3 linked regions of the Anolis sagrei genome follow. The protein of the gene in region 1 purifies or fractionates together with the protein of each later gene. This does not show direct contact. Links are inferred from orthologs where the notes say so. Each region holds a gene or a part of one and is shown in the gene's direction. Other genes may lie near its edges.

The links. The genes of interacting proteins can lie anywhere in the genome.
Region 2: the proteins of CDK1 (region 1) and CCND1 purify together in Homo sapiens (affinity purification with mass spectrometry; 4 studies listed by BioGRID and IntAct, counting the BioPlex papers as one, with this or other methods). This does not show direct contact. The link is inferred for Anolis sagrei from reciprocal best matches to the Homo sapiens genes CDK1 and CCND1.
Region 3: the proteins of CDK1 (region 1) and CCNF purify together in Homo sapiens (affinity purification with mass spectrometry; 3 studies listed by BioGRID, with this or other methods). This does not show direct contact. The link is inferred for Anolis sagrei from reciprocal best matches to the Homo sapiens genes CDK1 and CCNF.

Annotation. Positions count from the first base shown.
Region 1 is NC_090023.1:165,444,958-165,451,894, forward strand, and holds the start of CDK1 (cyclin-dependent kinase 1), read left to right. Parts: upstream 1-3,904; 5' UTR 3,905-4,020; intron 4,021-6,937. UniProt on the Homo sapiens protein: Plays a key role in the control of the eukaryotic cell cycle by modulating the centrosome cycle as well as mitotic onset; promotes G2-M transition via association with multiple interphase cyclins.
Region 2 is NC_090021.1:266,611,860-266,618,878, forward strand, and holds the start of CCND1 (G1/S-specific cyclin-D1), read left to right. Parts: upstream 1-3,964; 5' UTR 3,965-4,343; coding exon 4,344-4,541; intron 4,542-6,177; coding exon 6,178-6,393; intron 6,394-7,019. UniProt on the Homo sapiens protein: Regulatory component of the cyclin D1-CDK4 (DC) complex that phosphorylates and inhibits members of the retinoblastoma (RB) protein family including RB1 and regulates the cell-cycle during G(1)/S transition.
Region 3 is NC_090034.1:27,930,384-27,938,279, reverse strand, and holds the start of CCNF (cyclin-F), read left to right. Parts: upstream 1-4,841; 5' UTR 4,842-4,910; coding exon 4,911-4,923; intron 4,924-7,896. UniProt on the Homo sapiens protein: Substrate recognition component of a SCF (SKP1-CUL1-F-box protein) E3 ubiquitin-protein ligase complex which mediates the ubiquitination and subsequent proteasomal degradation of target proteins.

The DNA of each region.
Region 1 (6,937 bases):
TTCAGGGCATTTTATCCTAGCACTTAAGACCTGGCTTTTTAATAGAACATTTGAGCCATGTTAATTTTAGTATTTGTATGTATGTGTTTTATCCTGTATAATTTCTGCAATGTAAATCGCCTGGAGCATCTCGGATGGAGGGCGATTAATAAGTAATTAAAGATGATGGTGATGATTGTACTCAGGTCAAGAGGTTACAGTCGGGATAGCATATGGAGAAACTGGATGATTTCCAGTTGGCAATGTCCTTAGGCAAGGCTGCCTTTTATTACCCTATCTACTTAGAACACATTATTTGTAAAGGAGGCATAAAAACTGGAGAAATTGGCATACTCCTGTCAATTACAATTACCAAGCATCAACAATGGTCTCCCAAGTCATAGTCCAGTGTTCAGACCATTACACCACGGTGCCTCTTTTTTTATCTGGTTTGTTGCACAACCAGTTGGGAGAAACATCGACACAATTCAAGTTAGTTGTTCCTCTCCCCTAGTCATGTTCATTATGACTGTAAATAGCTCTCAAGGAACTTAGGCCCTTTCTACACTGCCATATAATCCAGATTATCAAAGCAGAAAATCCACATTATCTTCTTTGAACTGGATTATATGAGTTTCCATTGCCACTTCAAAACTTATCATCTGGATTTTATATGGCAATGTAGAAGAGGCCTCAGAGGGACAACTTTCAACCCACTTTTCCCTTGCAGTTTTGGGCAGAGAATGCAATCATAGGGTCTGCATGGTTCTCCAGTTTTTCTCCAAATATTTTGGCCGTCAACTCCCATAATCCTTGCTGCTGGGGCTTCCGGGAAATTAAGCCAAAAAGCATCCGGAGGTACAAAGATTGAAAACTATTACTTGAGTCTAGGCAGTTGTTTGCCTAACTGGCTGTGAAGCTAATATACTTATGGCATATTAGTCACTTACGTAATAACAATATACGTAAGAATTGGGCATGTGTAAGAACATGTTATATTGTTTCACCTACCCTGCATTCTTTACTCTGCAAGTTCTCAGGAAGCATTTTAAAGTTTTATGTTTTTGGATTTCTGCTTCTAGTTTACACTATTGTTTATTTTACAGAGCTATTTGCATTTCTTTAGGTAAATTAATTTCCCACAAGACTTTGAAACTAACCATGCCTTTCTGAAAAGGTTGCTAAAGCAAGCATAGTGAATGTGCAGTTCTCTAGACATTGCTGGACTGCAACTCCAATCACAGTCCTTACCATTGGCTATGCTGGCTAGGTTGATGGAATATATAGTCCCACAACATTTGGAGACCACACATTGCTGATCTCAGTTGTCTAACCTATGTCTCTCTGCAGTAACATTTTCTGCAATGAGTCAAAACTACACATTTGTATTTGTATGTCTATCCATTTGTCTACTCTGCCCTCTAATGGGCAACAGTGAGATGAGCTGCCCTAGTGTATCTATATAAATAAAAATGTAATGCTCATTTGTGGGATTAACAGAACTCAAAAACCACTGGGGGAATTGACACCAAATTTGGACACAAGATACCTAACAACCCATTATTCAAAAAAATTGATTTTGTTATTTGGGAGTTGTAGTTGCTGGGATTTATAGTTCACCTACAATCAAAGAGCATTCTGAACTCCACCAATGATGGAATTGGGCCAAGCTTAGCACACAGGGCTCCCATGACCAACAGAAAAACTGGAAGAGTTTGGTGGACATTGACCTTGAGTTTGGGAATTGTAGTTCACCCACATCCCTCCTGACAAAGAGCCATCCAGTCATAAATATAGATAGATAGATAGATAGATAGATAGATAGATACGATTCTCTCTCACACACAGAGATATAGTATCATAGATTTGAAAGACACCCTTAAAGAAGGGCAATGATATGTTGCATATTCCAGAGTAGGCAAACCAGACAGTTTGGTCCAGATCCATCATTGTTTGAGTCCACAGTGCTCTCCGGATGTAGGTGAACTACAACTCCCAAACTCAAGGTCAAACCCTTCCAGTGTTTTCTGTTGGTCATGGAAGTCCTGTATGCCATGTTTGGTTGAATTCCATAATTGGTGGAGTTCAGAATGCTCTTTGATTGTAGGTGAACTATAAATCCCAGAAACTACAACTCCCAAATGTCAAGGTCTATTTTCCCCAAACTCCACCAGTGTTCACATTTGGGCATATTGAGTATTCGTATAGAGTTTGGTCTAGATCCATCATTGTTTGAGTCCACAGTGCTCTCTGGATGTAGGTGAACTACAACTCCAAAATCAAAGAACACTGCCCACCAAATCCTTCCAGTATTTTCTGTTGGTCATGGGAGCCCTGGGTGCTAAGTTTGGCCCAATTCCATCATTAGTGGAGTTCAGAATGCTCTTTGATTGCAGGTGAACTATAAATCCCAGCAACTACACCTCCCAAATGACAAAATCAATTTTTTTGAGTGAAGGACATACATTGGGTTGTTAGGTGTCTTGTGTCCAAATTTGGTGTCAATTCCCCCAGTGGTTTTTGTGTTATGTTATTCCCACAAATGAACATTACACTTTTATTTATATAGACTAGCCATCCCTTGCCACGGGTTGCTGTGGCCCACATGGGGGTTCTGTGTGGGAGGTTTGGCCCAATTCTATTGTTGGTGGGGTTCAGAATGCTCTGTGATTGTAGGTGAATTATAAATTCCAGCAACCACAACTCCCAAATGTCAAGATTCTATTTTCCCCAAACTCCACCAGTGTTCACATTTGGGCATATTGAGTATTCTTGTAGACTTTGGTGCAGATCCATAATTGTTTGAGTCCACAGTGCTCTCTGGATGTGGAAGAACTACAATTCCCAAACTCAAGGTCAATGTCCACCAAACCCTTCCAGTTTTTTCTGTTGGTCATGGAAGTCCTGTATGCCATGTTTGGTTCAATTCCATCATTGGTGGAGTTCAGAATGCTCTTTGATTGTAGGTGAACCAGAAATCCCAGCAATGACAACTCCCAAATGTCAAGGTCTATTTCCCTTAAACTCCATCTGTGTTCATATTTGGGCATATGGAATATTTGTGCCAAGTTTGGTCCAGATCCATCATTGTTTGAGTCCACAGTGCTCTCTGGATGTAGGTGAACTAGCTGGAATGTGTCCAGAGGAGGGCGACTAAAATGATCAAGGGTCTGGAGAACAAGCCCTATGAGGAGCGCCTTAAAGAGCTGGGCATGTTTAGCCTGAAGAAGAGAAGGCTGAGAGGAGATATGATAGCCATGTATAAATATGTGAGAGGAAGCCACAGGGAGGAGAAGGGAGCAAGCTTGTTTTCTGCTTCCTTGGAGACTAGGACGAGGAACAATGTCTTCAAACTAACTACAAGAGAGGAGATTCCATCTGAACATGAGGAAGAACTTCCTGACTGTGAGAGCCGTTCAGCAGTGGAACTCTCTGCACCGGAGTGTGGTGGAGGCTCCTTCTTTGGAAGCTTTTAAACAGAGGCTGGATGGCCATCTGTCAGGGGTGATTTGAATGCAATATTCCTGCTTCTTGGCAGGGGGTTGGACTGGATGGCCCATGAGGTCTCTTCCAACTCTTTGATTCTATGATTCTATGATTTTATAGGGCTATGTGGAAGGACCCAAGAGCTGGGAAGCCTCTCTAAGCAGGAGAGTCTATTTATACCATTGGAAATTATTCCAAAGAAATTTAAGAGGGTTTATGGACACTTATGTATCAACATGGCGTTACGTCATCAATACGTGCCCTGCCTCGCGATTTTTAATTTCTTGTTGCTGTTCCTTTTCTTCTCTGTTTCCTGCGCCCGCCCGCCTGGCCTCGGCTCGAGCCAAGACCGCTCTTCCGCAGCGCTTTGGCGCCGGTGGTTTGCCGCGCGCTGATTGGCCGTTTTGAAAGCGGCGGCCCGTCCTTATTGGCGCGTTGGCGGCGGCTCGGCGCGGTTCATTTGAATCCGCCTCTTGCTCGGCTGCCTGAGGGAGACTTGCAGAGAGAGGAGCGCGGCGTGGGTCTGGAGGGGCAGCGCCCACGGATGAAGCACGGGTAAGGGGCGAGGTGGTGTTGGGGGACCCCCTTTTCGACACTCTCCAGAAAGCCACACTAGTTGGGAATCTCAGCCTCATGGAACACCGTTCAGACTGAGAGAAAGGAGTTGCTAGCATAGTTTTCCATGCATTGCAGCACCCAGAATTCCCCCAGCCATCTACTGCGTCTACACTGTGGAATGAATGCAGTTTGGCTCCACTATAACTGCCATGGAATCCTCAGAGTTGTCGTTTGGGCCCTTTTTGGCCTTGTAAAGACTCCAACTCCCACGATCCCTGGGCAGTTGAAGTGGAGTCCACATTTATTCATTTACTAGCTTGGGGACCCGGCGTTGCCTGGGTTATTAGAGAAAGTGGGTAATGGCGGTTCTGTATGCCAAGTTTGGTCTTTATTGGTCTTTGGATAACGGCTGCATTATTTTCAGGAAGTGAGTGAAGGCACTTAGTCCCATCATCCATGGCCCATCCTCCTCCAAACAGCAGCAGGATATAGAGTGGGTCATGGGGGCTCTGTGTGCCAACTTTGGTCTTGATTGGTCATTAGATGAGTTTTGCAGCAGTCTTGGGGAGTGGAGGTACTTGAAGTCCCATCATCCATTATCTGTCCTCCTCCAAACTGCACCAGGATGTAGAGTGGGTCATTGGAGCTCCATGTGCCAAGTTTAGTCTTGATTAGTCATTGGCGAGGGTCTCAGTGGTCTCAGGAAGTGAGTGAAGTGACTGCAAGTCCCATCATCCATTGTCAAATTCTTCCAAACCGCACCAGGATGTAGAGTGGGTTATGCTGGGTCTCTGTAAATTGTGCTCCTGATCCATCATTGTTGGCAGTTGTAATGGTCTTAGAAAGGGAGTGCAGGTATTGCAAGTCCCATCGTCCATGGTGCATCCTCCTTCAAACTGCACCTGGATGTAGAGTGCGTCATGGAGTCTCAGTGTGCCAATTTTGGTCTTTGTCGGTAATTGGATGGGAGTTGCAGTGGTCTCAGGAATTGAACAAAGGTACTGCAAGTCCCATAATCCATGGTCCATCCCTGGCCAAATCACACCAGATATAGATTTATTTACTGTATTTATATCCCCTCTTTCGAACCCCATAGGGCAGTGTTTCTCAACCTTCCTAATGCCATGACCGCTTAATACAGTTCCTCATGTTGTGGTGACTCCCAACCATAAAATTATTTTTGTTGCTACTTCATAACTGTAATTTTGCTTCTGTTATTAATTGAAGACAATTATGCTGGGGAAAGTGGAAGGTAAAAGGAAGAAGGGCCGACCAAGGGCAAGATGGATGGATGGCATCCTTGAAGTGACTGGACTGACCTTGAAGGAGCTGGGGGTGGTGACGGCCGACAGGGAGCTCTGGCGTGGGCTGGTCCGTGAGGTCACGAAGAGTTGGAGACGACTGAATGAATGAACAACACAACAATTAATTGTAAAGTGAATATCTGATATGCAGGATGTATTTTCACTCACTGGACCAAATTTGGCACAAATATCCAATACGCCCAAATTTGAACACTGGTGGGGCTGGGGGAGGGGTTGTCATTTGGGAGTTGTAGTTGCTGGGATTTATAGTTCACCTACAATCAAAGAGCATTCTGAAGTCCACCAGCAATGGAATTGAACCAAACTTGGCACACAGAACTCCCATGGCCATCAGAAAATCCTGGAAGGATTTGGTGGGCACTGACCTTGAATTTTGGAGTTCTAGTTCACCTACATCTAGAGAGCACTGTGCACTCAGTGATGGATCTGGACCAAACTTGATCTGGATACTCAAGATGCCGAAATGTGAACACTGGTGGAGTTTGGGGGAAACAGACCTTGACATTTGGGAGTTGTAGTTGCTGGGATTTATAGTTCACCTACCATCAAAGAGCATTCTGAACCCCACCAACAATAGAATTGGGCCAAATTGCCCACACAAAACCTCTATGACCAACAGAAATTACTGTTTTCTAATGGTCTTTGGCGACCCATCTGACATCCTCTTGTGTCCCGACCCCCAGGTTGAGAAACGCTGCCATAGGGGGAATCAAGGCGGATTACAAAATACTAATGACAAAAATTCAATGCCAACATACATGTAAAAAGAAAAAAAATCATTTTTTGTTGTGTCAGGAGCGACTTGAGAAACTGCAAGTCGCTTCTGGTGTGAGAGAATTGGCCGTCTGCAAGGACGTTGCCCAGGGGACGCCCGGATAATTTTGATGTTTTTATTATCCTTGTGGGGGGCTTCTCTCATGTCCCCACATGAGGAGCTGTAGCTGATAGAGGGAGCTCATCCGCCTCTCCCTGGATTCGAACCTGCGACCTGTAGGTCTTCAGTCCTGCCGGCACAGGGGTTTAACCCACTGCGCACCAGGGACTCAAAAAAAATCATAGTAACTAAACACTAACATATAGCTATGCATTAAAATCATTAAAACCACAAAATAGAAGGCATAAACAACATTTAAACATTAAGACAAAGCATTAAAAAACATTTTAGTATAAATATTAAAATAACACGATCCAGTTCAGGTTGAGTATTCCTTATCTGAAATGCTTTGGACCAGAAGTGTTGCATATTTTGAATCGTCCTGTATTTTGGAATATTTGCATATATTTAATAAGATATCTTGGTAACGGGATCCAAGTCTAAACAGGAATTCATTATACACATTATACATGTAAGGTCAATTATTACTTTAATAATTTTGTGTATGGTTACACTGAACACTCAGAAAACAAAAGGGTCACTATCTCAGCTGCCCTCATTGGACCCTCCTGGATTCCAAGGTATTTTGGGAAGGATTCATTCCTCAATGTCGATGCTACACAATCCTTTTGCATACTAGTCTTTTTTTTTAAAGAGTCCATGCATTTCCTTTTCCTGTTTGTGAGTTGCATATAACCCAACCTCATTCTTTTAC
Region 2 (7,019 bases), on another chromosome or scaffold:
TTTATATTCCCCCCCCCCCAAAAGAGCCCCCAATTAAGACATCCCCATTGCAGGAGCGCCAGGGCAAGCGAGAGGAGAGGCATGGGCACAATCCTCCCCCGGGATCAGAATAGAAGAACCCCCAAATTGGGGAAGTCCGGGTGATTCTTATGCCAAAACCAGGTCCTTGAATTGCATTGCTGTGCCTTTTCGGGCGATGCTTTCCAGAAGCATTCTCTCCTGACGTTTCGCCCACCTCTATGGCAGGCATCCCCTGAAGTTGGGAGGTCTGTTGGAAACTAGGAAAATGGGCAATCAATTGGGGGTTAATCTATCCGTGGAATGCTGGGAGGGGTTAGCCAGTCTTTGAAGCTGCAAGGCCATTCAATGCTAATCAAGTGAGGTTTAGATATCTGGAACGTCCACGGTGGAAGAAAGAACTCTTGTCTGCTTGAGGCAAGTGTGAATGCTGCAGTTGGCCACCTTGATTAGCATTGAATGGCCTCGCAACTTCAAAGACTGGTTAACCCCTCCCAACAAAGGTTCCCCGCAGGCAGGAAGCAGCCAGGCTTTGAAGCTGCAAGGCCATTCAGCGCGAATCAAGTGAGGTTTATATACCTGGAAGGTCCAGGGTGGAAAAAAGAACTCTTGTCTGCTTGAGACAAGTGTGAATGTTGCAGTTAGCCACCTTGATTAGCATTGAATACCCTTGCAGGATCAAAGCCTGGCTGCTTCCTGTCTGGGGCAATCCTTTGTTGGGAGGTGTCAGACAGGCTTTGAAGCTGCAAGGCCATTCAATGCTAATCAATATTCACACTTGCCTCCAGCAGACAGGAGTTCTTTCTCCCACCCTGGACCTTTCAAAGATATTAGCCTCACTTGATTAGCATTGAAGCTTCGAAGACTGGCTAACTCCTCCCAACAAAGGCTTCCCCAGGCAGGAGGCAGCCGGGCTTCGAAGCTGCAAGGCCATTTGATGCTAATCAAGGTGGCCAACTACAGCATTCACACTTGCCTCAAGCAGACAAGAGTTCTTTCTCCCACATATATAAACCTCACTTGATTAGCATTGAATGGCTTTGCAGCTTCAAAGACTGGCTAACTTCTCCCAAAAAAGGCTTCCCCATTCAGGAAGCAGCCGGGCTTTGAAGCTGCAAGGCCATTTAATGCCAATTAAGGTGGTCAATTGCAACATTCATAGTTGCCTCGAGCAGACAAGAGTTTTTTCTCCCACCCTGGACATTCCGCAGATATATAAACCCCACTTGCCTAGTTTCCAACAGACCTCACAACCTCTGAGGATGCCTGCCATAGATGTGGGCGAAACGTCAGGAGAGAATGATTCTGAAACATAGCCAGACACCCCGGAAATCGCACAGCAAGCCCAGCGATTCCGGCCAGGAAAGCCTTGGACAACACGTATCATCCTGGGAAGTTTGCATCCCAAGGCGTGCCTGGAATTTGCGGGGAGTTGCCTCGAGCGAGGCTCGGCTCCAGCCCAAGGAAGGCGCCCTCCCTGGAGGCAAGGCAGCGCGAGGGAGCCAGTCGCCCAGGAAGCCCGGGCTTGTGGGTGAAACGGGCCAGACCCACCAACCGGGGGAAAGAGAAGATCCCCGGAAGCCGGACGGGGCAGACTTCCGAGTTCCACCTCTCTCGCCCCCATTGACTTCCTTCCCTTGAGCCACGCGGCTTGGGGAATGTGTCTCCTGAAGTCAAGGCACAAAGGAAGGCCGCCCTGCCCCTTCCGAGACCCATTGCGGGACTCCTTGAAGTAGAATGCAACTTTCCTTAATGTATTGTCGGCTTTCAAGGCCGGAAACACTGGGTTGCTGTGAGTTTTCCGGGCTGCATGGCCATGTTCCAGAAGCATTCTCTCCTGGCGTTTCGCCTGCATCACAGATGCAGGCGAAACGCCAGGAGAGAATGCTTCTGGAACGTGGTCATGCAGCCCGGAAAACTCACAACAACTCAACTTTCTTTAATCCCTCTCTGCGCCTTTAATTCCTGCCAGAGATTCAACTCCAACAAACAGGTCGCCCTGCGGAAATGAATGGCTGATCCTTTCCCCATATGATGTAGGGGCCCATTCAAAGATTTGGGGCTGAAATCTACATTTTGGGGGCTCCAGCTGCCAGTTTTGGACCTACCACGTGGCGTTGAAGCCCCACCACGTTTCTCCTTCTAAGCTGAGGGGGAAAAGGAAGGGGCCTGAGGCTCTGGGAATGGTGGGAGTTGCACTCCAAAACACCTGGAGGGCCCAAGTTGGCCCAGGCCTGCTTTAAAGAGACGCTGCAACTTCCAGCTCTGCTCCCTCTCTCTCAATGCTGCCTTTGTTCCCCATCTTGGAAGAAGTAAACCTGGTTTCCAAGTGTGTTTTTAGATGGAAAGGGGGGAAATCAACCCCCCTGATCCCAAAGATCTGGCTGGCATTCTGCAGCCACGTGGTAGGTCCAAAACTGGCAGCTGGACCCCCCCCCCCCCAAAGTGTCCAGATTTCAACCCCAATCTTTGAAGGGACCTCTATATCCTATGGGAAAAGTTTGAGCCAATCACTGGGTTGCTGTGTTTTCCGGGCTGTATCACTCATTTTCCAGAAGCATTCCCTCCTGACGTTTCGCCTGCATCTATGGCAGGCATCCTCAGAGGTTGAGAGGTGTGTTGGAAACTTAAACAGGAGAATGTATTGTCGAAGCCTTTCATGGCCAGAATCACTGGGTTGCTGTAGGTTTTTCAGGCTGTACCGCCATGTTCTAGAAGCATTCTCTCCTGACATTTCGCCTGCTTCTATGGCAGGTATACCTCACAACCTCTGAGGCTGCCTGCCATAGATGCAGGCAAAATGTCAGGAGAGAATGCTTCTAGAACATACAGCCCAAAAAACCTACAACAGCAAAGGGACTCATCACACTAGAGAAAGAATCCACATTAAATCCGGTTTCTGCTTCCTGCAGAATTCTGGGGTTTGTAGTTTAGGAAGGAGCCTTTAACAGTGTCACTAAACTACAAGGAGAATTCTGCAGGAGGCAGAAACTGGATTTAAAGTGGATTTTTTTCTGTAATGTGATGAGGTCATAAGTGAGGTTTCTATGCTTTTGGAACATGGCCATATAGCTTAAGCTGACTTGTGTGGGGAGGAAGGGGCATGAGGCTGTGCGGAATGGTGGGAGTTGCACTCCAAAACAGGAGGTACAAACCGGATTTAAAGTGGATTTTTTCTCTAGTGTGATGAAGTCATAAGTGAGGTTTCTATGCTTTTGGAATATGGCTTTACAGTTTAAGCTGGATGATTGGGGGGGGGGGGGGGTAAAGCTGTGAGGAATGGTGAGAGTTGTACTCCAAGTTGGTCCAGGTCTCCGGGCCTGAGGCTGTGAGGAATGGTGGGAGTTGCACTCCAAAGCAGGAGGCACAAACCGGATTTAAGGGGGATTTTTTTTCAATGTGATGAAGTCACAAGTAAGTGATGTTTCTATGCTTTTGGAACATGGCTATACAGCTTAAACTGGATGAAGTGGGGGGGGGGGAGAGGAAGGGGCCTGAAGCTGTGAAGAAGGGTAGGAGTTGCACCCCCAAACACTTGGGAGGGCCCAAGTTTGCCCAGGCCTCAAGTTTGCCTGTGTGTGGCCGTGGCCTACTTCCCCCATTGTATTCTGCACCAGCTGCATAAAGCCCGCATTATTATCACCATCATCACCATCATTATTATTAAACATATCCTGCCTAATGCACTGGAAAGACAATTTGCTTCTTTTTCCCCCTCCCCGGGAAAAAAAAGAGAGGGGGGGATCTTTAGTGCTCATTTGCATGGGTATGCAAAAGAGAGAGAGAGAGAAGGGGGGGGTAAGCGCCTTGCTGCTGCTGCTGCTGCTTCTCCTCCTCCTCCTGCTTGAACTGCGGCGAAGGGGAAGGCCTTGGAGGCGATGGGATGGCTTTAGGGCTCTGCCCCTTGCTTTTGGCTCCTCTCCCTCCCTCCCTCTCTCCCTCCCTCCCTCCTTCCTCGCTCGCTCTCTCCTTCCTTCGCATTCTTTGATCTCCGCTTAACAACAGTCACGTCACAAGAGGGGGCTCAGGCGGCAGGGTGGAAGTTTGGAAAGTTTCCCCGCAGCCTCCAGAGGGCTGGAGCAGCAGCAAGCGGTAGCACCAGCGAAGCGAAGCAGGAGGAGTCGTTGCTGCTGCTGCTGCTGCAGGAGAGTCAGCCCAGCCAGCAGCATCCGAGCAACCAGGGAAGGAGAAGAAGGAGAAGAAGAGCAGCCTGGAAACAAGACTCCCTCCGGAGAGAAAAGAAACAAAGCCTCGCAAGAACAGCATAAGGAAGAGAGGAAGCACGCGGGGAGAGAGAGAGAAAGAGAGAGAGGCGAGGCGTCGGCATGGATCACCAGCTGCTCTGCTGCGAAGTGGAGACCATCCGGAGAGCCTACCAAGATGCCAACCTCCTCAACGACCGGGTCCTGCAGGCCATGCTCAAGGCCGAGGAGACCTGCTCGCCCTCCGTCTCCTACTTCAAGTGCGTCCAGAAGGAGATCTTACCATATATGAGGAAAATCGTGGCCACTTGGATGCTGGAGGTTGGTAACCATTCCGAGAGAGAGAGCGAGAGAGAAGGAGGAAAGGAATGGCAAGCTTGGGCTTCCTTGGCAATAGTCAAACCACCCTTGCTTGGAGAGAGAGAGAGAGAGAAAGGGGATTGCAAGACTAACTTAGTAATAGTCAGACCAGCCCTGCAGAACCTCTGCTTGGAAAGAGAGAGAGAGAAAGGGGATTGCAAGCCTGGGCTTCCTCTGCCTGCCTCTCTTTCCTCTCTCCGGCATTTCCTCCACCCGAAGATAGCCTTTCCTCCTGGGCTGCTTTCTCCCTGCCTCCCTTTCCTCTCTTTCCCCGGCGTTTCCTGCACCCGAAGCCAGGCCTCCTTTCTCTCGCTGTCACCTTTGGAGGCGAACTTTTGAATGAGCCCGAAAGGCAGGGTCCTGGGAGCGAAGCGTGGGCTGCTTCCTCGCCCAGGCGCCCCGGCTCCTGCCTTCCCTTCTGGCCTTTCCCTCGAGCCTCCCCGGGCCTCCCAGGGGGGGATTTTGATTTTAGATTTAATATCCATGGACACGTATGCAAGTGCTCCCCGTGCCAGTATTCTGCGCCATCTTTGTTCTTTTATTGCAAGGGTTTATTAATCATTAGGAGGCGAGAAACTTCCCTTGAGGGTGGGGGGGGGGGGTCCCTGGGCTTTGGGCTTGCAAACTTTGGGGAGAAACTTTTCTTTGTTCGCACAGAGAGAGAGAAAACCCCTGGTCTTCCTCTCCTCCCCCCCTCCCCACCCCCGCCCGGAAGACGTGCTTGCTTTCTCCTGCAGAGACTTGTCGGCAAGGTCGCCCAGTACAAAAACAAGTGCAAATCGGGGTCCCCCTTTGGAGGAGGCGCTTCAAAGGGGTCCCATCAGAAGCAGCCGGCTTTGGGCTACATTTTCAGCCCTTTCCCGAAAAAATCCGCGCCCGGGAAGTATTTTTAATTAATTTTTGAAAGCCCCCCGGGTGGCAAATGTCGCACGTTGCTTCTCAAGAAGAGAGAGCTTGGAGAGGAATGGGGGGTGCTGGAGTTTGACTTCGGGGTGTCCCACCAGAGGATCCCCCGTGATTCTTCTCATGAGGGATCGGTAAAGAATCGCCCGGGGTTTGTTTTCAGCTACTTTTGGAAGCGCTGGTGATTTTTTAAACATTTTTAAATATTTTTTGAAAAGATGACGTCTGGGGAAAAAGCGTGCAGCTGCCTCTTCGACGCCACCTTTGTGTCTCGAGCGAGGAGGGGGGGAGGCAGCACCCAAGCCAATGGGAGCCAATAGGGGGCACCTCAGCTATACACCCCCCAAAAAATATCTCCAAGCAGACCTACTTCTAACTACTTTGGGGGGTCGCTTCTTAATTTCGGGCTTTTCAAAAGCCTGTTCGCCTTTTTATTTCGCCTCCTCAGTCCCCGACCACGTTTTTCCAACTTCCCTTGCGACTTTCTCTTTCAGTTCTTTTCTCTCCTTACACTCTCAACACATTTATTGACTTGGTTCATTTGGTTTTTATAAAAGTGGGAAATTCATTTCATTGGATTTTCTTCACCATTCTTGTGTGGAAGAAAAAGTTGGTTCAAAAAAGTAAGGATTTGTTTCTTGTTTTTCCCTTCCCCGTTTTTTTGTTTTGTTTTTTTCCCCTATTTTCCCTTCAGGTTTGTGAGGAGCAGAAGTGCGAAGAAGAAGTATTCCCCTTAGCTATGAATTATTTGGACCGATATCTCTCTTTCGAACCCCTTAAGAAAAGCCACTTGCAACTGCTGGGAGCTACCTGTATGTTCGTTGCCTCCAAAATGAAGGAAACCATTCCTCTCACTGCAGAAAAACTGTGTATTTACACTGATAACTCCATTAGACCCAGCGAATTACTGGTAATTTCGTACTTTTGTCTCTTCAGAAAACTAAAAACCCTCAAGCCACACTGATAAAGAAACCAGGCTGATCAATTCTTCAATTTCAGATCTCCTAGACAGATTCCCTTCCTCTAATGTTTAGGACTGAAAACTTCATGCGGTTTGCTCACTTTGAATTCTTTCCACCATTACCTTTACAAACTTTACTCCAGCGTGTGCAAATGGGCATATATGGGAAGCATATAATTGAATGAATATATATATATAGAGAGAGAGAGAGAGAGAGAGTGAGTTTTTGAAGGCTTTCATGGTCGGAATCACTGGGTTGCTGTGAGTTTTCTGGGCTGTATGGCCGTGTTTGCTTCTGAATGCTTCTGTAATATGGCTATACAGCCCGGAAAACTCAGAAACAACCTATATGATCAGAGGTTGAGTACAAGAGTCTTAAAGCTCACCAATTCCAAGTTGGGAGGCAGTCCCATATACACATTTTTCAGAAGCAATTCCTAATCCCTTCAATAGGATATTTATTATTGTTATTGGGTTGCTGTGAGTTTTCCAGGCTGTATGGCCACATTCCAGAAGCATTCTCTCCTGACATTTCACCCACATCTATGGCAGGCATCCTCAGAAGTCTGTTGAAA
Region 3 (7,896 bases), on another chromosome or scaffold:
CTGATGAGGGCTGGGCAGTCCAATAGACAAAGACGCTGAAATGAGTCTTGAGTGGATTATGCTCAACATTATTTTTAAAAATTTAATTATTACATTTGGCCCAGCTATAGGTCTCTTAAACATTGTTGTGTTACTGTTAATGTTTATTGCTTATTTTTTGTTATGAGTTTTATTTTATTGTTTGTATTACTGTTGTTATTGTTTTTATAACTGATGTATTGTGGGCTCGGTCTCATGTAAGCCGCACCGAGTCCCTTGGGGAGATGGTAGTGGGGTATAAATAAAGTTATTATTATTATTATTATTATTATTATTATTATTGTTATTATGTGGTCCCAGCAAGGGACAAACAATAGGGGACATCAGGTCCCAAGAACCTTTATTGTTGAAATGATAACAATCTGAGTCCCCAGTTTGTGGGTGCAGTGCAGTGGGTGCTGAATGTCAAAAAAGTCCAAGGCAGAGTATTGTTCATCCTAATACGATGAAGTGGCAAGTTGCTGAGAAAGGGGAAATGCTATTGTGTGTCAACGGGGCATGGCTTTCTTATCTGGGAACCACCATGCCAAGCGATGAGTGTAATTGTATGTCCAATAAGCTGCGCAAAGGACAGGTGGCCTGTACCTCTGGATCCTGTTGTCCTTGGCACAGCTGGAGTTCTATGGGGCTAATAGAGATGGACTAGCCAAAAAGTGAAGGGCGATTGAATCCAGTTTCATGCAAATAAAGCCCAGGAATACAGCTGACTGGACTTTCTAGGTCACAATAAGTGAGTAAAAGGTCATCACAAGGTTTGGTGGCAAAGCTCCTCCAAAAAGATTTTAGAGTAAGACACAAAATACAGAAATTTTAATAAAACACACAAAAGTGATCTCACGGATAGTGGAGGACTTACCCCACAGAGACCCAGTAGCTACAGGACAAAGGGGACACATATGCAGGAGGTATATGAATGTCAAGGAGGACCTGACCTTATGGAGTCCCTGGCTCCCATGGGGAGGAAAAGCTAAGATATGGACATATATGGGGCCGTGGACAGCGAGAGAACCCAATAGATAGGTAGTGTGATGCCCATGGGATGGGGGAACAAACAGGAGAAATCCACGAATACCTGGGAGCCCCTTTGGGTTTTGGTATCTGCATAAGTTAGTGTAGATGTGGATTATGGGACTTGGGGTGAGGTGCGGGCAAGGGAATTATGGATAAGAGAATAGATGGGTAAAACAGAAAAAGGTGAAGATTGGTGGATATGGAGGCTTCCGGGATAACCAGGACACCTATGGAGGTGGGAGTTGGGTGAGGGGGTTCAGGGGTCTTAGAGGACGTGTAGGGCTGTGATCAGCGGATACCGAGGGAGAAACAACAGATCTCGGCATCCGTGAGCAAGGCTAAAGCAGTTTCAGGGTTAGTAGAGTAAAAGTTAGGTTATCTGAGTGTCATGATCCCTCACTCATGCCAGCTGACTAACATCCCTGAAGTAGAGCACATGGCCTTTGGCAAAAAGGGAGGACAAGATCTTACTAGGACATATGAACCAGCCATAAAACTCAATTGCCTTGAGCTGAGAGGAGATGGGCTCTGGTTTGTGGGAAAGGAGCCACAACCATTGAGTAATTTATGATGTTGTAGTTTAGGCCCTAGAAAGTGAGCAGAATGGTTATTTCTTGGATTCTGAACAATAAAGATGCATGATAACTTTAACTGCTGTGTGACTTAGCATATTTCTTTCTAATGAAGTCTAACCCACAGCAACACAGCAAAGAACCCTCTCACTGAGGACAATTGAGTGAAAAAAAAAGGAAAAACAAAGGAGAAACATGGTTTTGGTGCACATTGGAGCTCTCAAGGTGGGAACAAAGGTTAGCGAGGGGCTTGGGGTGAGAAAGGAGCACAGATTACTCATCCACGGATACCGAGGGACAAATGATAGATCTCGGTATCCACGGTTTGGGGAGAACATATTGGGCTTACCAGGAACAGGTCAATGTTAGCCAAGGTAAGAAAAGGAAGGAAAGCAGTGTTGCTAGATCTGGGAGAGGGGGGAGGTCATGGGAGCTATGTGGGTCATGTGGACCAAGTGGCCACCAGGCTGGCAGTGGAATGTGGAACTGAGGAGAAAGGAAGGATTCTGGGAGGAAAAGGAGAGACGGAGAAGCAGGAATTAAAGGTGGGGGGGGGGGTGAGAAGTCTCCTGGGCGCTGGTAGCTGCTGGTTGGCTCCTCCAGACCACTGGATGGAGAATTATTTCTTTAATTTAGAAGGCACCCGAGGCCTGTGGAACTCTCAGCTGTGGTGCCAACCATGCCAATTTAATATTCCCTGAGGGGGGGGGGGGTCTGTCCTCGACAACACATTCTCAACTGGAATAATAACCCTGTGTCCAGTTCTAGGCAAAGCATTTCAAGGGGACGATTTTCAAGTTGGAATGCTGTCCAGAGAATGGCGATTGAAATGATCAGTGGGAATGATTGGCTCTGTAAGCCTATACGAAATGGCTTACGGAGCTGGCTAAGTTGAGTTTGGAGAAACAAAAGCCGAAAGGAGGCATGATAACTCTGGAAAGATTTGAGGACTGGAACAGGCTTTTGAAAGATTATTTTATTTATTTATTTATTTTGCTGCTCTGGAGAGATTCAGGGCAATGGGTTCAAATGACAGGAAAGGACATTCTACCTGAATTTTAGTAGGAAGAACTTCCTGACCGTAATAAGAGCTGTTTGGCAGTGGAACTCTCTGCCTCAGAGTTTATTGGAAGCTCCTTCCTTGGAGGCTTTTAAACAGAGGCTGGGTGGCCATCTGTCAGGGGCTTTGATGGTGCTTTTCCTGCATGAAAGCAGAAGGGACTAGCTGGCTTTTGGGCTCCCTCCCAACTCTAGGATAATATGATTGTATTATGATTATTTTTGAGGCTGGATGGCCATCTGTCAAGAGGCTTTGATGGTGCTGTAATCGAATGTGACCCTCCCGCCTGCACATACAAACTTCCTAACTGTGAGAGCTGTAGTGGAACTCTCTGCCTTGGAATCCATTGGAAGCTTTTAAACATAGGCTGGATGGCCATCTGTCAGGGGGCTTTGATGGTGCTTTTCCTGCATGAAAGCAGAAGGGAGTTGAACTAGATGGCAGGCATGTAGCCGGGGGGGGGGGCCTCGGGGGGCTTCAGCAGCCCCCCCCCCCCCAATTCTCATGGTGGTTCGCGAAAAGGCCTTACTGGTGCATTACTTAAACTGTTATGTGTATTCATATCATGATCTGATCACCATACTCAATATATCCCATATGCATGGGGGTATTGGGGTAATGATACAAAATGTTTGCTAGGGTAGACCCTCTTTCACTCAGACTCAGCCCCCCCCCCCCCCGAAGCTCAGCCCCCCTGAAACCCCCCCTGAAAAAAAATCACCCCACCCCCCGAAACGAAATCCTGGCTACGGGCCTGCTAGATGGCTTTTGGGCTTCCTTCCAAATCTAGGATAATATGATTGTATTATGATTATTATTGAGCCCCCTGGCCATCTGTCAGGGGGCTTTGGCGGTGCTGTAATCGAGTGTGACCCCCACCCCATCACCACACGCAAACTTCCTAACTGTGAGAGCTGTTCAGCAGTGGAACTCTCTGCCCTGGACTGTGGTGGAGGCTCCTTCTTTGGAGGCTTTGAAACAGGCTGAATGTCTATCTGTCGGGGGTGCTTTGAATGCGATGTTCCTGCTTCTTGGCAGGATGGGGTTGGACTGGATGGCTCACGAGGTCTCTTCCAACTAAGATTCTATAACTTGGTGAGATTCATTCTGTAACATTGGCTTCTTTGTCTCCCCAGACATGGCCCACAGCAGCCTAGAAGTCTGGATCTCACTATCCACGACAGCTCTACATTGCTCTATTTCAGTGCTTTCCCTCCATGAAGGCAGAAGGGGGTTGGACTGGATGGGCCCTAGGGTTGCTCTTATTACTATTGTTGTTGTTATTGTATTATTATCATCACTACTACAAAGGCTGGATGGTCACCTGTTGGGGGTGCTTTGATGGTGCTTTTCCTGCATGGCAGAATAAAGGGGGCTGGACTAGATGCCCCCTGGGGTTGCTCCTATTATTATTATTATCATCACCGCAAAGGCTGGATGGCCATCTGTCGAGAGGGCTTTGATGGTGCTTTTCCTGCATGGCAGAATAAAGGGGCTTGGACTAGATGCCCCCTTGGGTTCTCTTCCAACTCTAGGATTCTAATATGATTATTACAGTATTAATAAGCAGAACCTGGATGGCCCTCTGTCGGGAGGGCTTTGATGGTGCTTTTCCTGCATGAAGGCAGAATAAAGGGATGGGATAGATGGCCTTAAGAGATCCTTTGAACCCTAGAATGCTATTACTATTACTATTATGTATTGTAAAACTGCGATTCCCTTGCATCAAAGCACGCCCTTTCAACTGAAACGGAATGGCATGACTTCTGCACTGCGGAGGCATTCCTCGGGAGGCTTGGGCCGGAATGCTTTCTGTTGCTCTCATCTGCGCCTGTGCCGACCAGCCCCAAGCGTTCGAATCTTCCCCACCCCTTCGGAGTCCTGCTGCCCAATCGCGGCCCGGCGGCGCTCTCTTTGCCCCGCCTCCCGTCCAATCAGCAGCCCAGCGGGGTTTGAAAAAGTGAGCGCGCGGTGACTTTTTTGAAAAGAAAAAAAGAAAAAAAACAAGCAGGAAGGAGGTGTGGCTTCGTCAAGGCCCTTTGGCGGAACCGCAAGCAATTGGTCGCTGAGTTCGAAGTGGGGGGCGTGGCTTCGAGGCTGAAAAAGGAGGCGGGAGGTGCTTGTGAATGAGACTGGGCCCGGAGGGGGCGGGGCCAAGTGGGGCCACACCCACCGGCCTGTTTGAGCGCTGGCGGTGAGTTTGGCGCGGCGACGTCCGTTCTTGCAGCATGAAAGTTGGCGGTGAGGGATTGAAACTCTTACATGATTTTTTTCATGGTTGTTGTTGCAGGTTCTTGAGTGGCAAGTGGCGTTGTTTGCAGGCTTGGCCGGGTTGAGTCTCTTTTCAGAGCAGAGAGAAATATTAAGACTACTACTATTATTATTATTACTATTATTATTATTTAGCTCTAGTTCGGACTAGTAGCCACCCAGTTCAGTGCCATAAGATGATGATGATGATTATTATTAAATTCTTGTTGAGACTAGGAGCCATGCAGTTCAAGGTAATATAATAATAATAATTTATTCAATAAAATCTATATTATTATTATTATTATTATTATTATTATTGGGACTAGTAGCCATGTAGTTCAAGGTAATATAATAATAATATATTAAATAAAATAGATATTATTATCATTATTGGGACTAGTAGCCATCCAGTTCAATGTAATATAATAATTATAATAATTATAATAATTTATTCAATAAAATAGATATTATTATTATTATTATTGGGGCTAGTAGCCATCCAGTTCAATTCAATAAAATAGATATAATAATAATGATGATGATGATATAGTTGGGACTAGTTTGGATATGTGCTTTTAATATTTGTATTAGGTGTTTTTAATTTTTATGTTTCATGTTTAAATGTCCTCTTATCTTATGGCAAATTGTCCTATTGAATTTATGCTTAGTTATATGCTGTTTAAGTTATAATTTGGTTTATATATGGAAGGCATTGAATTTTGCCATTCTTTTTGGAAACCGCTTTGACTCCCCCCAGGAATGTGAAAAGCAGTGTAAAAATGTTGTAAATAAATAAATAATAGCCATTTTGCTTTTATAATAATAAGAAGAAGAATAAGAATAGTTATTCTAGTTTGGATTAGTGACTGTTCAGTTCAGTAAAATAAATGCGATAGTAATAATTTAACTCTTGTTGGGACTAATAACCATTCACTTCAGTTTAATAACATTATTATTATTATTATTATTATTATTATTCAACTCTTGTTGGGACTAGTAGCCATCCACTTGATTTTAATAACATTATTATTATTATTACTACTACAGTAGAGTCTTGCTTATCCAACATTAAGGGGCCAGCAGAACGTTGGATAAGCAAAAATGTTGGATAATAAGGAGGGATTAAGGAAAAGCCTATTAAACGTCAAATTACATTATGATTTTACAAATTAAGCACCAAAACATCATGTTTTACAACAAATTTACAGAAAAAGCAGTTCAATACACGGTAATGTTATGTAGTAATTGCTGTATTTATGGATTTAGCACCAAAATATCACATCGTATTGAAACAGCTGTGAATTCGGAATGCATTAGATCAAGGGTCCAAAAACTTTTTAAGCAGAGGGCCAGGTCACAGTCCCTCAAACTGTTGGAGGGCCGGATTATAATTTGAAAAAAAAAAACATGAATTAATTCCTATGCACACTGCACATATCTTATTTGTAGTGCCAAAAATGCTTTAAAACAATACAATAATTAAAATGAAGATCATTTTTAACAAATATAAACTTATTAGTATTTCAGTGTGTGCTTTCAAGTCATTTCAGACTTAGGTTGACCCTGAGCGAGGGCCGGGTAAATGACCTGGGAGGGGCATATCCGGCCCCCGGGCCTTAGTTTGAGGACCCCTGCATTAGACAATACAGAACATTGGATGAGCAATACTGTACTGTATTATTATTATTAAACTCTTGTTGGGACTAGTAACTATCCAGTTCATTATGGTAGAATTCCAAGAAATTGGGGATCAGAGTGGAGTCCCTGGTGGTGCAGTGGGTTACACTGCTTAGCTGCTGAACTTGCTGACAAAAAGTTTGGCGGTTTGAATCCGGGGAGCGGGATGAGCCCCTGCTGTTAGCCCCAGCTTCTGCCAACCTAGCAATTAAAAAACATACAAATGTGAGTAGATAAATAGGTATCGCTTCGGTAGGAGGGTAATGGTACTCCATGCAATTGTGCTGGCCACATGTCCTTGGAGGTGACAATGCCAGCTCTTCAGCTTAGAAATGAAGATGAGCACCACTTGCCAGAGTTGGACTCCACTAGATGTAATGTCAAGGGGAAACCTTTACCTGGGGATAAGAAAGTCCTCTTTAATTCAGTGGGGCCTTCCTTCTGGTCTTCATTGCACACTGTAGAATTAATCCAGTTTGACACTTCCTTAACTGCCATGGCTCAATGTTATGGACTGTGGGAGTTGTTTGGTGAGGCTCACTCCTTGGCAGAAAAGGATAAAGGCCTTGAAAAAAACCACTTCTCCCGTGATTCATAGCACTGAGCCATGGCGGTTAAAGTGGTGTCAAACTGGATTAATTCTACAGTGAAGATGACCCTAAAGACTAAAAACTTTGAAAAGTGAAGTTCTTAAAATAATTGGTGGAAGGAGTTGTTTGGCACGGAGTTTGAGGGGCAGCCTATGTGCACCTACACTGTAGAATTAATGCAGTTTAATACCACTTTAACTGCCAAGGTTTGTGTTATCGTTGTTTTTGTTTTGCAAACCTTCTCTGGCAAAGAGCTCTGATACCTCAACAAACTATAGCTCCTAGCATTCCATGGCAGTTCAAAGTGGTATTGATTGCAATTAAATATGTAGTGTAGATGCAGCCCCTTTTGTTGGGAATCTTTGCAACCTTATGCAAGGTTTACTTTTGTGCTGAAGATCTTAGAAGAACCCTAATGGAATTTTGTAGTTTGAGTTGTGCTCTTTTTCAAAGTTCAGGACTTGCCCTATAGGGTTCTGCCCCTGCCCCTCCTTTTGGGCGGTAAGCAGCTTTTTGCAAAGGGAGGCAGGCGAGCTTTAGACTCTTTCTTTCCTTCAAAAGTCCCCTTCGTATTATTGGCTCCTCTGCATTTCTCCATCTGATGGATTCAGGCCAATATTACGGCACTGAAGTTGGATATATATAATTACTATTCTGTTATGGACAGTTGACACCTTTTGTATTATAGTGGCTC